Linked DNA regions of Mytilus edulis. The main gene of each other region encodes a partner of the protein of the gene in region 2 in a complex. Links are inferred from orthologs where the notes say so. Each region holds a gene or a part of one and is shown on either strand. Other genes may lie near its edges.

Region 1 (7,680 bases), on a different chromosome or scaffold from region 2:
GATTTGTTGTTGTGATGGGATCATTAGGTCGCCCAATTATTTAATTAGTAAATATTAAAAGAGATTTTTTTTGTTGCCTTCACTGTTCTTTAAATCTTGAAAATGAATTTGCTATGTTGTAACTGTTAAATTCACATTGCTTGATGTTCATGATGTTATTTTTGTTTGTTATAGATTTATCAAATAATGTTTTTTCATATACAGACATTGTTTCAAAAAGTTCATGTCCCATGCTTGCCAATAATGAAAAAAACATTGAGTCCCATTCCTGTAAACACTGCAAAAATTGCTTGTCCCATTACAGTTTGCACCGGTCCCATGCATCAAGAAATTTTGACCGGTCCCTAACAACTAGTTTGTTTCCCGGCCGTTATTGAAATTCTTGACATTACCTTAATATTTGTATGTTCCGAAGGCATACTGAATGTTTTACGGAGGGGACCAACCTAGTCAGTAACAACGTACTATTGTGAATTATTTTTCGGATAATAATCTTTTAGGCATACATTAAAAACGGTGTCATTGATAGGCAACCATGAACACAATGAAAAATGAATCCGTGAAAGTGTTCCATGTTTATTCCATTCAAGTAAAGACTTGTTATGATTATACCATATATTTAACTAATTTATAAAAAAAAAACAACAAAAAAAAAAAAAACAAGATTATATCTTAAACTTGTAAATCCAATTTCAAGTTTTAAAAGTTCCTCAATTAAAAATAATACATGATATATTTGCCTGATCTTATATTTGTTTAATTAAAATAATGCCTTCATTAAAAACGGTGTCATTGATAGGCAACCATGAACACAATGAAAAATGAATCCGTGAAAGTGTTCCATGTTTATTCCATTCAAGTAAAGACTTGTTATGATAATACCATATATTTAACTAATTTATATAAAAAAAAAAAAAAAAAAAAAAACAAGATTATATCTTAAACTTGTAAATCCAATTTCAAGTTTTAAAAGTTCCTCAATTAAAAATAATACATGATATATTTGCGTGATCTTATATTTGTTTGATTAAAATAATGCCTTCAAATACATGTAATGTTCATTTTTATTCAATTTTCCACAAAACATTTTAGCTTAGTTTAAATGAAATTCAGAACAGAGAATCCAAACACTGTCGAAGAGAATATACATATTCGTGTTAATTTGCCTCAGTTTAATTTGTTAATTCATGTTTGACATTTAACATTTTAATCCGCAATCCACATTTACCCGACAATCTTGTATATTGTATTTTCTCAATGAAATAACCTAACGTGCATGTGACCATCAGAAACTAAGACAAAAATGATATTTATAATGATATTTATCAAAACTTAGATATTTCGAAATATCTTAGTAGCATAGGAATTTGCCAAATAAGCGAAGAATTATAATCTACCTAGGATTTACAACCAAGGATTTGTATAGTTTCTTTTCAATAAAATATTGTTGGTGTTTTTGGCGACTATAGCAGCAACATTGCCGTTATTAAATAAAAATATTAAATTTTCGCTATCTGATAATTATAGCCGCGGGTTAAAATGTTCATTAAAATGTATAATATTATACTATAATGGGCATTTTAGAATGACATGAAGTTCATCTTCAATAGTAGAGCTACAACACATGTCATCTCGTGGACTTCTTTTCTTTCATACTTTCCAGTTTCTATTTTTTTAGTGGAGCTACCCCACATTTAAATTTTGCAAAAACACATTTGTTTTTATTTGACAGAATATTTTTAACAAATACCAGTTGGCCAACAGTATATTTTTAAGTCCATTTTCGCTCAGTTGAATAGAAATTCCAATTTTAACTCTTCTGTCGTAGAAATGTCAATATCATGTTATTGTTTGTACGTACAACATGTATCATTATATCAAAATGTGTCAGTCCCAGCCAAGATTCACCGAATAACCACAAAATCTTTACAGATGATAAGATATTTACACAAAAAGTCATGAATCTGTATGAACTTTATATGTACGATGAAGTTAATTAAGAGTCTACAAGAAAGTAAGTATGACTGTAAATTTTATTTAAAGTCGGAACATACATATATATTATATATATATACATATACTTTAACCGCTCTATAACCGACTATCATATAAAAACCGCAATGTATGAACGTTAAACAATTAGAGATGAACGTTTCACAAATGCACGTTATCTGATCTACACAATTATACACGATTGACGAACACACGATACACGTTTAAAAATACAAGATTGATGAACGCACGATACACGCACGATACACGGTTAAGAATGAATGTTTGATGAGCGCACGATACACGCACGATACACGCACGATACACGATTAAGAATACACGATGCACGCACGTTACACGGAAAATACACGGAACGATGAATGATGAACGCACGATTGGTACACGCACGATACACGCACGATGCACGCACGCAACACGCACGATACACGATGAACGCACGGAATAATGGTCAGTTTGAATTTTAGAAGGTCTGTAATACTCCCGTAATATGCATTTATCGAAGTTTGGGTCGTAACCTTTTTTTCCCTTGCCCAAAGGAAATTGAAACCCTGTACCAAAGGGTTCGTTTGATACTGCGCAGTATCAAAGACGTACAAAGTAACTGATTTATTAATCAAAGGTAAACCGAGTGGCGTTTCAGATTCTAGCAATTGCACAGAGCACGTACTTTTGCGAGAATAATACTGAAATGCTGACAATTTATTTATACTAAACATAAAAGTTTTAGCAGTCAGCTTGATAGAGCAAAGGAAATGCACACTCTATAAAATTGAAACAAAAACAAAAAAAGGTCAACTTTCCTTTGAAGGATTTATTGAAACAAAAACATGAAATATAATTTCCTTTCTAACAGTACAATTCATTGTTCTTGATTGGAACAACATTAGATGTGGCTTCACCCTAAGGTAATAACAGTACACACAATGTGGAACATCAAATGAGATTAATTAAAACGAGGCGCGTGTCCCCTGTTTTATTGCTACAATAACATCCAATTTATAACACCTTCAACTTTGTACAAGCGTCAGAATATACAATTACACGCGCCAGAATATACAATCATTGTAAATAGTGAACACCTGTTGAAAACTCAAGATTGTCATTAATTTCCTTTCATCTTCAATCAATGATAAATATCGTTTAATGAGGCAATAAACAATTAAAAAGATGAAAACATTCACATTTCAATTTTCTTTTCCTCTTGTTTGATTTCAGTTCTTTGTATTTCACAATTTGTGTCAATATTTTCTGGACAATGATGCACAAATAATTCATTTTGCGAGCTTAATCTATATTGCACGAAAAGAGTTTTAAAAAACAAATTATAAGATAAATAATATGTTCTAAAACACAAGGAAAAGTAATCTCATAATACAATAATTAAACGTAATACTGGCTGTTATACCAGAGACATATATACACACCTGTGAATCAACAGTCACAACTCTAATTAAGGGACTTATTACCGGAAAATCGGACACACATAATTTCACTGTGTAATTTAAAAGGAGCAAACTATTGCAAAGATATGCGATAAAGAAAAGTTTCTTGTAATAACAATTGATCATTACCAGATTTGAATTTTTAAATTATATGAAATGCAGAAAAAAATATTTTTCTCAATAAATACATAAAAATGAATATAACGATTTCAAGTAGGTTTTTTTTAGAAAAGAAATTATAATATGATCTGAAATAATTTCCCCATTGCTTTTCTTGATTATCTATCGAGGTTATTCATCCCTGACTTGATTACATGTTCTAATATTTATCGACGAGAATCTCATCCCGGGCCGCGATCTTTTACGGGATTTCACGGAGTTGCCAATCTCTATGTATATATGTCTCTGGTTATACATAATAGATGATAAAATATTATGTAAATAATGTTTCATTTTTTTTTCTATCAATTTTAACTTTCTTGTCGCTAAAATTATTTTCTTTTGCATATTCTTTTAATATTTATTGCAATAATGAATTTTATTTTAAAAAAATATGTTTTCTTGTCGCTTCTTGTCGCCAAGGATTTGTCGCTAAAATAATTCTTGTCGCTTGTTGTAATAATTCTTGTTGTCGCTAATTAGTGAGACCGAGGATTTGTATTACTATATAAATCCTTGATATTATCAAACACATCCTTGTCATAAACATATAGCAGGAGAAAAAGAAAAAGAAGAAAAATCAAAGATAATGTAAAAAATAGAGGATCAGATCAAGCCTCCCCTTCCCTTCCTCACACCATTTTTTTTATTATAGCAATTCAATTCAATTCAATATTTTATTTACGTCTCACCTTATGTATAAAATTACACAATACATTTATAAAAGATACATTTTGTATACATAAGCCAATCTGTACAGATTTATGAGAGACGATAATCACTTAAAAGAATATGTATATGTACATAATAAATATTAAACCTAAATGGTAAAATTATACAACAAAAGTATTTAATTATTATTTACAATATAAAACTTCTCGGCGTCGTTTAAGAATAAAATTACAGGTTTTGGCACATAATCTTATAATATCTTGATTCGAAAATAAAAATACCATTTTCTGACAATCTGTAAAACTATTAAAATGTTCATCAATTTTAAGAGACTCAGTAAAAAGAACTTGTCTAAGATCAAGAATTCGTTTAGCAATCTGAAATCCGAAAAATTGTGCCTACATCCGACATCCGGTTAAAATAAACGGAACATTTGATGAAAAATTTGTCGTATCAATCATCAGTAATCTGCACATTTTAAGGGTTAATTCTATCTCTTAGGTTTCTTGATTTCGTTCACTTTCATAGCTTATACACTTAGATTCTGCTTTCTCGTATCATTGTCAAAGTCATAGCGAGAAAAGTCTAAGGAAATAAACAATGGGCGTAGAAATGAGAGTCGCTGTTGTCTGTTCGAGTAACCAAAACAGAAGTATGGAAGCTCATAGCTTTCTAAGGTGAGAAATGGTTTATAATGGGATAACAAACACTAATCGATTCACGGTTTCAATCCGAAATAAGGGGGTGGGGTGCTTTGTTGACATATTGGGTCAAGGTCAGAAGTAAGGGAGGTAATTCGTTGATATTATAATTTGATGCAAGCAGTTTCTATTCAGACATGATTTTCACTACAATCAATTGCAATGTAAAACATAATAATCAGGAGCTATACTCTTTATACCAGAGAGCTAAAATAAAAGAATAACTTTCAAGTATGACATCACAGTGGCGGATCCAGAACTTTTCATAAGTGGGGGGCCTCTCCAGTCATGCTTTATTGATTCCTTACATAATCAACCAAATATTTCCCCCAAAAGGGGGGGGGGGGGGGGGGGTTACGGGCACCCCAGCCCACTGGATCCACCTATGCATCAGGACAACTGCTACACTTAAAAAAGTCTAAATAATTCATTATTTTTACATTAAGGTTCATCATAACAAATGGACAAATATGGCTGTATTTTCACCTTAAAAACTACTCTGTGTACAGACTTACCTGTGCTGTTTGGAAAGTTTTAATGCCTAGCATCCACTAGATATATAAAAGTTAAATTCATTTTGTGTTAAAGAAAGATAAAATCTTTTTTGGTTTTTGCTGGGCATTTATTTTCCTTTCTGCAGAAGGTGTAAAAATAAACAAACACCTGAATTACTTTGATACTGTCCACTCGCTGACTCAGATGAACTCTTTAACTCACCTGTAGTTGTGTAGCTGCGGAACCGTAGCTCTAAGGTCCTTATGTTATTTTTTGACTATTTGCGGACCTTAGAGCTACAGTTCCGCAGCTAGTAGTTGTTAAGATACCTCTTGTCCATGTCAATTAAGGACAAACAAAACAATACAAACCGGTTTTTTACCTGAGGGAGCATCTCATAGTTGTTCCACAGCTTAGTTAATTTTCAGAATTTTTCAGGAAAAAAATGCCCAGCAAAATCCAAAAGAGATTTTATCTTTCTAAAACACAAAATGCATTTAACTTTATTATATCTAGTGGATGCCAGGCATTAAAAGTTTTCCAACTTCACAGGTAAGTCTGTACTCAGAGTAATTTTTGGCATGTAAATACAGCCGTATTTGTCCGTTTGTTATGATGAACCTTAATTGGCTGATCTCTTGTTTTTTGCTTGTAAAGATTTAATAGTCTGACAGTTTTCGCAAAACACTGATGTACTCAAATAGGGCAAACTCAGTATGAGAATGTGTACTAAACAGAAGCTGAAGACGTGTCGCCCTGTCTTGACAAATTATTCTGACTCCTGGTTAACCAGTCTTGCTTTTACTTCTAGCAAAGAAGCAGCAAATACCAATACTTTTAAAGTCTTTGGTTTGACCCAGCAGATTTTAACTTGTGTCAGTGTCGTGTCTACATTTCGGTTACATGACAGATTTAACTAACTTCATGTACCATATCCCAGGAATAGCATATATTTCAATGTCTCACTCTGTTTCAAGCTGTGACCTATGGATCATTTTTTTTTGCATTATTGTATATCTAGGGGCATTATGTTTTTCATTCTGCATCTGTCCATTTGTCCGTCTGTCCTGTTTCAGGTTATTTGGTCAAGGTAGTTTATAGAGTATTTAAAGTTCTTGAAACTTAATACATGTTTTGTGTTAAGATTGAAAGAGATGCAATCAAAACTTGTCCAGAATTGTAATTGAATCAACTTCAACCAATGCATTATTGACCATGCATTACTTAATTTTACTTTCCACTGTGTGCTTACATCATCCATTTGTGTTAAGCAGTTCATAAAACACTGATAACTTGTACAACATTACAATGCGTACACAACATATAGATATATATAATTAGCTAAAGGCTAGTGGTCAAAGGTATAAACTGTTCTTAGAATTAATCAATTTACTTCATAAACCATAATTGTGTTTGGATGACAACAATTGTGAGCCACTTCAAAAACATTTTATTTCTCTTTAAAAAATAAAGCAACAGTCATATGATAACAGATGCAAATCTGAAAAGTTAAAACAGTGCATAGAAAAAAAAACCAAAAAGCTTGACTGTACATGTAACTTTGTATTTCATTGTTATATAGCGCCTAGAAAAATTGATGATTGTCACAGGCCCAGCGACATTTTTAAAAGCCGGTTAAGCATGAAAACTTGAGCATTCTTATTATTTAGTAAACGGTTCGTAATATAGTATTGTTTATTTTCATACACCTGTTTAAGACGGGACATATTATGGTATACTGTTGTTTGTCTGTTCGTCGTCACCACTTCGGACAGTTTCTAAAAAACGCTTCCACCAACTTTTATGAAACTTTGTTGAATTGTTTATATCTATTGATGTAAGCTCCCTTTCAATTTTTTATATATAAATTTCAGATTTTTCGATTCCATGTTATAAAGTTTTATCCTTAAAAAAAAGGGGGATTTCCAGTCCTCTGACAATACATGTAATTCAAAAATGCTTCCATCAACTTTAATGAAACTTTGTGGAAATGTTTATTGTGTTTATTTGATGAAATGTTTATATCTAAAGACTATTGACGTAAGCTCCCTTTTTGATTTTTATAAATTTCAGATTTTTCGTTTCCATGTAATGGTTATGAAGTTTTATCCTTAAAGAAAGGGGGATTTTCCAGTTTTGTAACAATAACTAAAAAATTATCTATTGGTGTATGCTCCCTTTCGATTTTTATAAATTTC
Region 2 (7,347 bases):
AATCCCTATTAGCCCAGTATAAATTTTGTACTAAAAGAGTTATCTCCCCTTAAATGACTCATTTGAAAAAAAAAAATGATTTTAAAAACCAAAAAGGTTGATATTTGTTAAAATATTTTGAATAATACAATAAATTAGCAAGTTTTCTTTATATAAATAAACAGTCTAACCATTAAATTGCAAATCTGTTTCCAAATTTGCTGATTTGGGCAAATAACTATACCGATTTTGTACTGTGATTGTACAATCCAAGATAGAAGAGGGACGAAAGATACCAAAGGGACAGTCAAACTCATAAATCTAAAACAAACTGACAACGCCATGGCTAAAAATGAAAAAGACAAACAGAAAAACAATAGTACACATGACACAACATAGAAAACTAAAGAATAAACAACACGAACCCCACCAAAAACTAGGGGTGATCTCAGGTGCTCCGGAAGGGTAAGCAGATCCTGCTCCACATGCGGCACCCGTCGTGTTGCTTATGTGATTACAAATCCGGTAAATAGTCTAATTCGGTAGGTCAAATTCATGAAAGGGAAGGGGATTGTAGTTACGACGTGAGGAACATATCTGATATCATTTGTGAAATGGTTATTCCATAACGGTCAACCAACTCGTGATGGCGTCCGTAAAATTTACGAAGGGATGATTTCAACTTCACCATTTGGAACTCTTGATTTAATAGCTTCCTTGTGAGCAGTAACCCTCTATCAAGAAAATCATGATAGGAAATGCAAGCACGGGAATATCGTATCAATTGAGAGATATATACCCCGTATGCAGGTGCTGCTGGAATGTTGCTACTTAGAAATGGAAAGTTCACAATTGGGAAGCTGAAATCATCTCTTTTGTCGTAAAGTTTTGTCTTCAACCGACCCTCATTGTCCATTTCTAGATGTAAGTCAAGATATGAAGCTGACTTAACATGATAGCGGTACCATGAATCTACCTTAACCTGTCAATCATATTTGTAACGTGTGCAAAACGAGCTTTAAGCGTGTATTGGGCGTACTAGAAACGTATGTTGGCGTATGTTGTATGTTTTTTATACTGCATACAAATTTCCTGTGATTGTAGCGTTCATCAAGCGTATTTACTTTCCTTCATTGGCTAGAGGAATAGGGGGAGGGTTGATATCTCATAAACATGTTTATCCCCGCCGCAATTTTGCGCCTGTCCCAAGTCAGGAGCCTCTGGCCTTTGTTAGTCTTGTGTGATCTAGTATACATATCTTTTAAGGGGTCAACTGAAGGACGCCTACGGGTGCGGGAGTTTCTCTCTACATTGAAGACCCATTGGTGGCCTTGGCCTGCTCTATGGTCGGGTTGTTGTCGCTTTGAAACATTCCCCATTTCCTTTCTCAATTTTACCTTTGTATTTAGACGTACTAAAAACTTATGCAACGCGCTTTGGACTATTGCTAAGCGTTCCTATGGCATGCAACTAACGTATACCGACTTTGTAAATTTTCTCTGTACGTTTGGTGCACGCAGGTCTATACGCCAATGTGTGACGCCGGCATAAGGTAATCTATTCCTGAGGTAGAAAAGCCTCAATATTTCAAAGAAAACGCATGGAATTTAACCAGCTGCATTGCAACATATGACAGATTCATAGATGTTACAGACTTTGAACAGACAAAACAAAATAAGGCTGATTGATAACTTGGCGTAAATAATAAATTCGTGCGAATTCGAGCGGCCAATCAGTCCATATAACGCTATATTGAAGTGACACACCCTTCAATGAAATACAAAGAAATAAAATTAAAATAAAAGTTCTCTTTCTATAAGGATACTGTTGCACCGTATTGTAATTTTTTCGTCACAAGTACATCTCATTTTTTTCAATGTGAAAATATAAACTAAAGGTAGTAAGACTATTGTCGTGGCTAAATAACTCTTAACTGACACGATTTAAATTGTCCAACCCATTAACAGACTGTATTCCCCTAATATTCATTAAAATGTGGTATTACTCAACTTATATACCAATTATGAAATATTTATCAATGACAATTATTTTTTTAGAACCAAAGTACTATTTTGTGTCCTTTAAATCATATATAAAAATGTCTTTTAGCCTTTTATCCAAAATATTGCTATGCGTACAAGCATAAAAACCACATACTTGCGAGACGCCTTTTCGTTTTACTTAAAACTGCGCAGGCTATGTATTTTTTTTACTGGTGGAAAATGTTCTATGATAGATATCATTTTGTCAGACACTTTTCTTTTTTTGATGTGGTTCTCATAATATGGCAAAAATCTATATATTTAACAGAGTTTAACATTAAATTTTGAGTTTTACTCTTAACAGACGTATAACCAACCCGATTAACAGACCAACCGCCGATATAGCCGCATACTCAATATAGATTAACCGACCAAACTCTCGGTTAGCCGAGTGTCGGCCGTGTTCTAGCGATCCTTCAATTATTGAAGATTATTCGCCGGGCGTCGACTATAAAATTTATAATTTACACTTTAGCAACAAAAATCAAAAATAACAAAATCAAAAAATCAACATAACGTATTTACATTTGAAAAAATGAATTGTAATAAAACTATATACATTTGATAACAGAATAGTTAGGGATAAAATATGGGGATGAGAGCAGATTCTGAGATCATACTCTTGAATCCCTGTACTGTACTGCATGATACTATTTGTTGTGGCAGATGATTCCAATTTATAACAGTTCGTGGATAAAATGAATATTTATAACTGTCTTTGGATGTTTGTATTTGCCTAAATGGGTGTGGATTGCTATGTCTGGTTCTATTGTCTAGTGGGATCAAAAGGATATGTGTAGGGACTGCAACAATTTCATGTATAATTTTGTAAAAGAAAACAAGTCTGTATCGTAAACGCCTAATTTCGAGTGGGTACCAATTTAGGTCTGTCATCATTTCAGTAACTGAGCTGGTGTTATGGAAGCGGTTGCATGAGAAGCGTGCTGCTCTTCTTTGAACTTTTTCGATTTGTGAAATTTGCTGTTTTTGATGTGGGTCCCAAATTGTTGAGCAGTACTCTAATTTTGGTCGGACAAGAGCTTTATATGCGTGAGCTTTAACTTTCGGTGATGCTATTTTTAGGTTTCTACGAATAAATCCAAAGGACTGGTTTGCTTTTGATGTCATGTTATCGATATGTTTGTCCCATTTTAAATTTGATTGAAGAGTTAGGCCTAAATATTTTGTAGAGTCGACTTTTTCTAGAGAGTGATTGTGTAATTTATAAGTGAAGTCTAAAGGTTTCCGTTTTTGAGTTACACTGAGAATGTTGCACTTATCAGGGTGAAAATGCATGAGCCAGTCCTGCTCCCACCTGCCGGCCGCTTCTAAGTCAGACTGTAATTTAAGTGTGTCATCTGGTTTTTTAATTTCCCTATAAATAATGCTATCATCTGCAAACAATCTTAATGTACTATGTTCAATATATTCTGCCAAATCATTAATAAAGATTAAAAATAAAATTGGACCAAGCACTGTGCCTTGAGGTACCCCAGATGTTACAGGAATTGTATTTGATGTTTCACCTTCAAGGACTACTGTTTGTGTTCTGTTTGTTAAGAAATCTTGAATCCAATGATATGCATTACAATTTATACCGTAGAAACCAATTTTATACATGAGGTGGTGGTGTGAAACTTTATCGAATGCTTTTGCAAAATCCATTATTATGATGTCTATTTGGATGTTTTTATTATTTGAATTTGCAAGATCTTGAATAAATGATATTAGCTGAGTTTCACAGGAGCGGGAGGATCGAAAACCGTGTTGTAAGTCATATAGAATTTTATTTTTTTCCAGATGTTTCATTATGCTACTAGCTACAACATGTTCTAATAGTTTGCAGCAGATGCAAGTCAATGATATTGGGCGATAGTTTATGGGATCGTGTTTGTCGCCTTTTTTGAAAGCGGCTGGACATACACTTGCGTGACGCCAGTCGTCTGGGATCTTTCCAGAGTTCAGTGATGCTTGAAATATGATTGATAAGATGGGAGTGATAGATGATTTACACTCTTTTAAAAATTTTCCATGGATGAGATCAGGCCCAGCGGCTTTGTTGATATTGATATTATTTAATAGTTTTTCTATGCCCTGTTGTTGTATCTTAATATTCAGTATGAATACGGTTCCTTACTTGGAAGAAGAAGAAGAAGAAGAACATTTTGAAGTTAAGAAGTATTGTGTAGAGGTATATATATAGATAGATTTCTTAATCAAATTTGGTAGTTTTATTGTTTTTGGCATACTAAATATTTATATGTTTTTAATGATAAAGCACAACGCGGAAATTATCGTCTCCGATCCTGATGTTTCTAGCTCTTTTTCAACTTCCGGTTATCAGCATGAGGGAAAACTGGGAAAATGCAAAAGTCAACAAAAATAATTGAACACAAATTCCCTATTTTGATTAGTTTTATTTGATTAAGATGTCTGCAGAAAGTCAGCCAACCCCTCTGTCGACTGCTGCACAGTTCTTCATGGACGAAGAAGAGGGCAGCACGTCCACTTACGATAGGGTAACAACGCATAAAAAATGTGTTTTTTTTCTTTCTGCACTGCTACTGCCACCTGTCAATACATCAGGGATCACCTCTACCTAATCTAGTGTGATACACTGAATTTCCCTCCACTGCCTTTGATAATTATTTAACACACTAAATTGTTGGCTGCCACGCTTCAAATATAGATATTATTTTAAATACCCGATATATTTGACCCAATAGGCAATAGGTAAATTTCCAAAGTATTCAGAGCAACTGAGTACAATGCAATTCACTAGCAAGCGACTGGGGCAATAAAGTGGCTTGCTCATCCCTTACTTTGCTATGTCTGACCGTCAAAAGAGATACTTTGTACAGTGGAGTCCCCGGTGTCCGCGCGGCCGGTGATACAGCGCATAAACTGATTTCATTATATCAACAAGGTAACACAAATAAAATTGTTCTTGTTATTGTTTTAACATTCCAAAGGGATAAAAAAGAATAAAATTGATTAGTTCCAGATGGAAATAATAACTGCAATCCCGTGATTTACAATATTTGGCCAATGTCCATTAAAAAAAAATACAGCATCAGATAAAATTTGTTTTACTTACATGTAAGTCAAATTTTTATCAGATTGAAACAATTTTTGCGCCATTGTCAAATGACCCCCACCATCGTTAAATTGTCCAGTTACAAAGAAAACAGTTGAACAAGTCGAACACATGCATTTATTTTGACTTACGCAATCAGCATCCCACAAGTACAAAATAAGACGTAAAACAGTAATTATTATTTCATCGCAAATAACTCGAGTACTGCTGTAACGATAATATAGAATTACTTTCAAAGTTAAAAAAAAGTGAAAACTTAATATTTCCTGTAAAGAAATATCATATCTATTTTACGAATTCATTTCGTAGTTTACAATCAAATTGATACATCTACGTTTCCGGTTTTTATTCAGACTCGAAAGATGCATGTTGCATAGCAGTAATTTGCTAGATAAAGTCATTAAAAACATTTTCATTTGTCAACGTTTGCTTTACAAATATCTTTAACCTTTTACATAACCCAAGTGTACGAATCGTTTTGTTGTTGCTGAAAATCAGCCATACTGGTAATGCCTAGCTAATGGGTTCATGACTTCTGAATTTGAGTGTCAGTGAAAAATAACCTCCACATGATTTTTAACCCCCATAACAATTACCAAAAATAGCAAGAAAACTACATGGGGACCTTCTTGACAGCTTTTGATCATTCTCTACAAAGGGGGGGGGGGGGGGGGGGGGCATGAAGGCTTGGCATTTGAATGGTTACAATACTAACGCCAATTATTGAAAATATTTATACTTCTATAATGAAAATTCAAATAAATATAATTTAAATAAGCAATGAATTAGCATGTTCACCATTCTTTATATGGAGGGATGAAATATATTCGATCACGCTACACTGTTCAGCATAGACACGTGGTGAAAGTTCCTCCATCGTTCAATTTTCATCCATGGAGATCCCTATAAAATGAAGTTTCTGCTGAAATATTTGGAAGTGTGGTCTAAACTCTACAGGCATATTAATAAAACACATAGTTGATTGTATCACAATTTTATTGTTTTGTGTGTTAGGCTACAAGGCATGATTATATTCAGCATTACCTCCTTATGTCTGTGAAGTTTTAAATTGCACCATCGAAAGGATCAGATAACAAGCAATAAACATTGTTGAACGAACATGTTGAAGACTGGAAGAATTGCCATTGGAAATAATATGTTTTTTTATATATTTAATATCAATAGAAATTAGCTTAAACTGCAGTTACACAAAAAATGACATTGTTAAACAGAATCTAATGTAAACAGCTTGAATAAACCTTCTTAATATGAATATGGTTAATAACATAAAAAGGGTCTGATAGTGGCTGATTCATGCGTGTGAATATAAATGTTCAATAAACTAAAATTGTCCATAAGATAAAATTTGTGAGTGATTGTACTTTCTCCTGAGAAATCATCCAAAGTTAAGTAGAATTTCAAAATTGATATGAGAAGGTGAAAATTGACCTAAAATATTGAACAGTCATAAGTTAAACATGTTGAAAGTAATTCTAAATAAGGTACTGAAATAAATTTTAGTAAGTTGTCTACACTTCAACCAGCGTAAAATTGAGAAAAAAATTTCAATGTTTCTTGTGACAATTTTAAGATTATTATTTCAGGTTGTTGAACTGGTCAACCAGGCTACTTTGATGCAAAAAGATGTTCAAAAGATTGGTAATTTAAGACAGGTATGTTAACAATTGATTGGTAAAGATACAATTGTAAATTTGAGCAGGTAATATGTATGTAGATAACTACCTCAGTGCTGAATGTAGATTGTTTGGTAATTTAAAAATGGGAATGATTACCAAAGAGTAGAGAGAATGGAAATTTCAAACATGATATTTATGACTTAGATAAATTATATACATTTTTGTACATGTATTTAATTGTTTTACCATGTGTGTTCATTCAAGACTCACACTTTTGTTTTCCAGGTTTTACTTACTCTTGCATTTCAGATATGACTATACTTACAATGTCTTAACATAAGTACCAGATAACGTTGCACCACAACATTCTTAAGATGAAATAAAACTACATATAAATGTACATGTAGATTTCTTAAACGATTTTGTAAACATCAATCATCTGTTGATTATATAATCAAAAGTTGACCTTTGAGTCATTCTTTTCATTTTTACTTTGATTATTCTCCAAATTATCAAAATTCAAATGTATATTTCCTTTTAATGATTGAAAATTAAGTATATGCTTCAGAAGTGTATACAATTGAATTTTGTG

What was found. Proteins that work in one complex are often made in the same cells at the same time.
Region 1: the proteins of symplekin-like (region 2) and RNA polymerase II subunit A C-terminal domain phosphatase SSU72-like are in contact, whole or in part, in a crystal structure (PDB 4YGX), measured with the Drosophila melanogaster proteins. The link is inferred for Mytilus edulis from reciprocal best matches to the Drosophila melanogaster genes Sym and Ssu72. Residues at the interface, in NP_649580.1 of Drosophila melanogaster: Glu91, Ala117, Lys121, Gln125, Gly128, Ser129, Glu169, Asn170, Asp171, Gly172, Thr175, Asn176, Lys179, Phe180, Arg198, Ser240, Ser241, Val242, Ile245, Ala246, Ser249, Thr281, Ser283, Gln284, Ser286, Ser287, Lys290, Met294, Gln295; in NP_001285455.1 of Drosophila melanogaster: Glu114, Tyr117, Asp118, Val121, Met122, Glu125, Glu128, Ser129, Val130, Asp131, Asn132, Arg133, Pro134, Asp168, Asp170, Asn171, Asp174, Gln178, Glu181, Val187, Ile188, Leu189, His190, Ser191, Val192, Phe194.

Annotation. Positions count from the first base shown.
Region 1 is NC_092356.1:11,118,950-11,126,629, reverse strand, and holds the start of RNA polymerase II subunit A C-terminal domain phosphatase SSU72-like, read left to right. Parts: upstream 1-4,672; 5' UTR 4,673-4,886; coding exon 4,887-4,963; intron 4,964-7,680.
Region 2 is NC_092346.1:102,303,785-102,311,131, reverse strand, and holds the start of symplekin-like, read left to right. Parts: upstream 1-4,342; 5' UTR 4,343-4,450; coding exon 4,451-4,540; intron 4,541-6,722; coding exon 6,723-6,791; intron 6,792-7,347. UniProt on the Drosophila melanogaster protein: Component of a protein complex required for cotranscriptional processing of 3'-ends of polyadenylated and histone pre-mRNA. Involved in germline stem cell transit amplification, differentiation and mitosis-to-meiosis transition.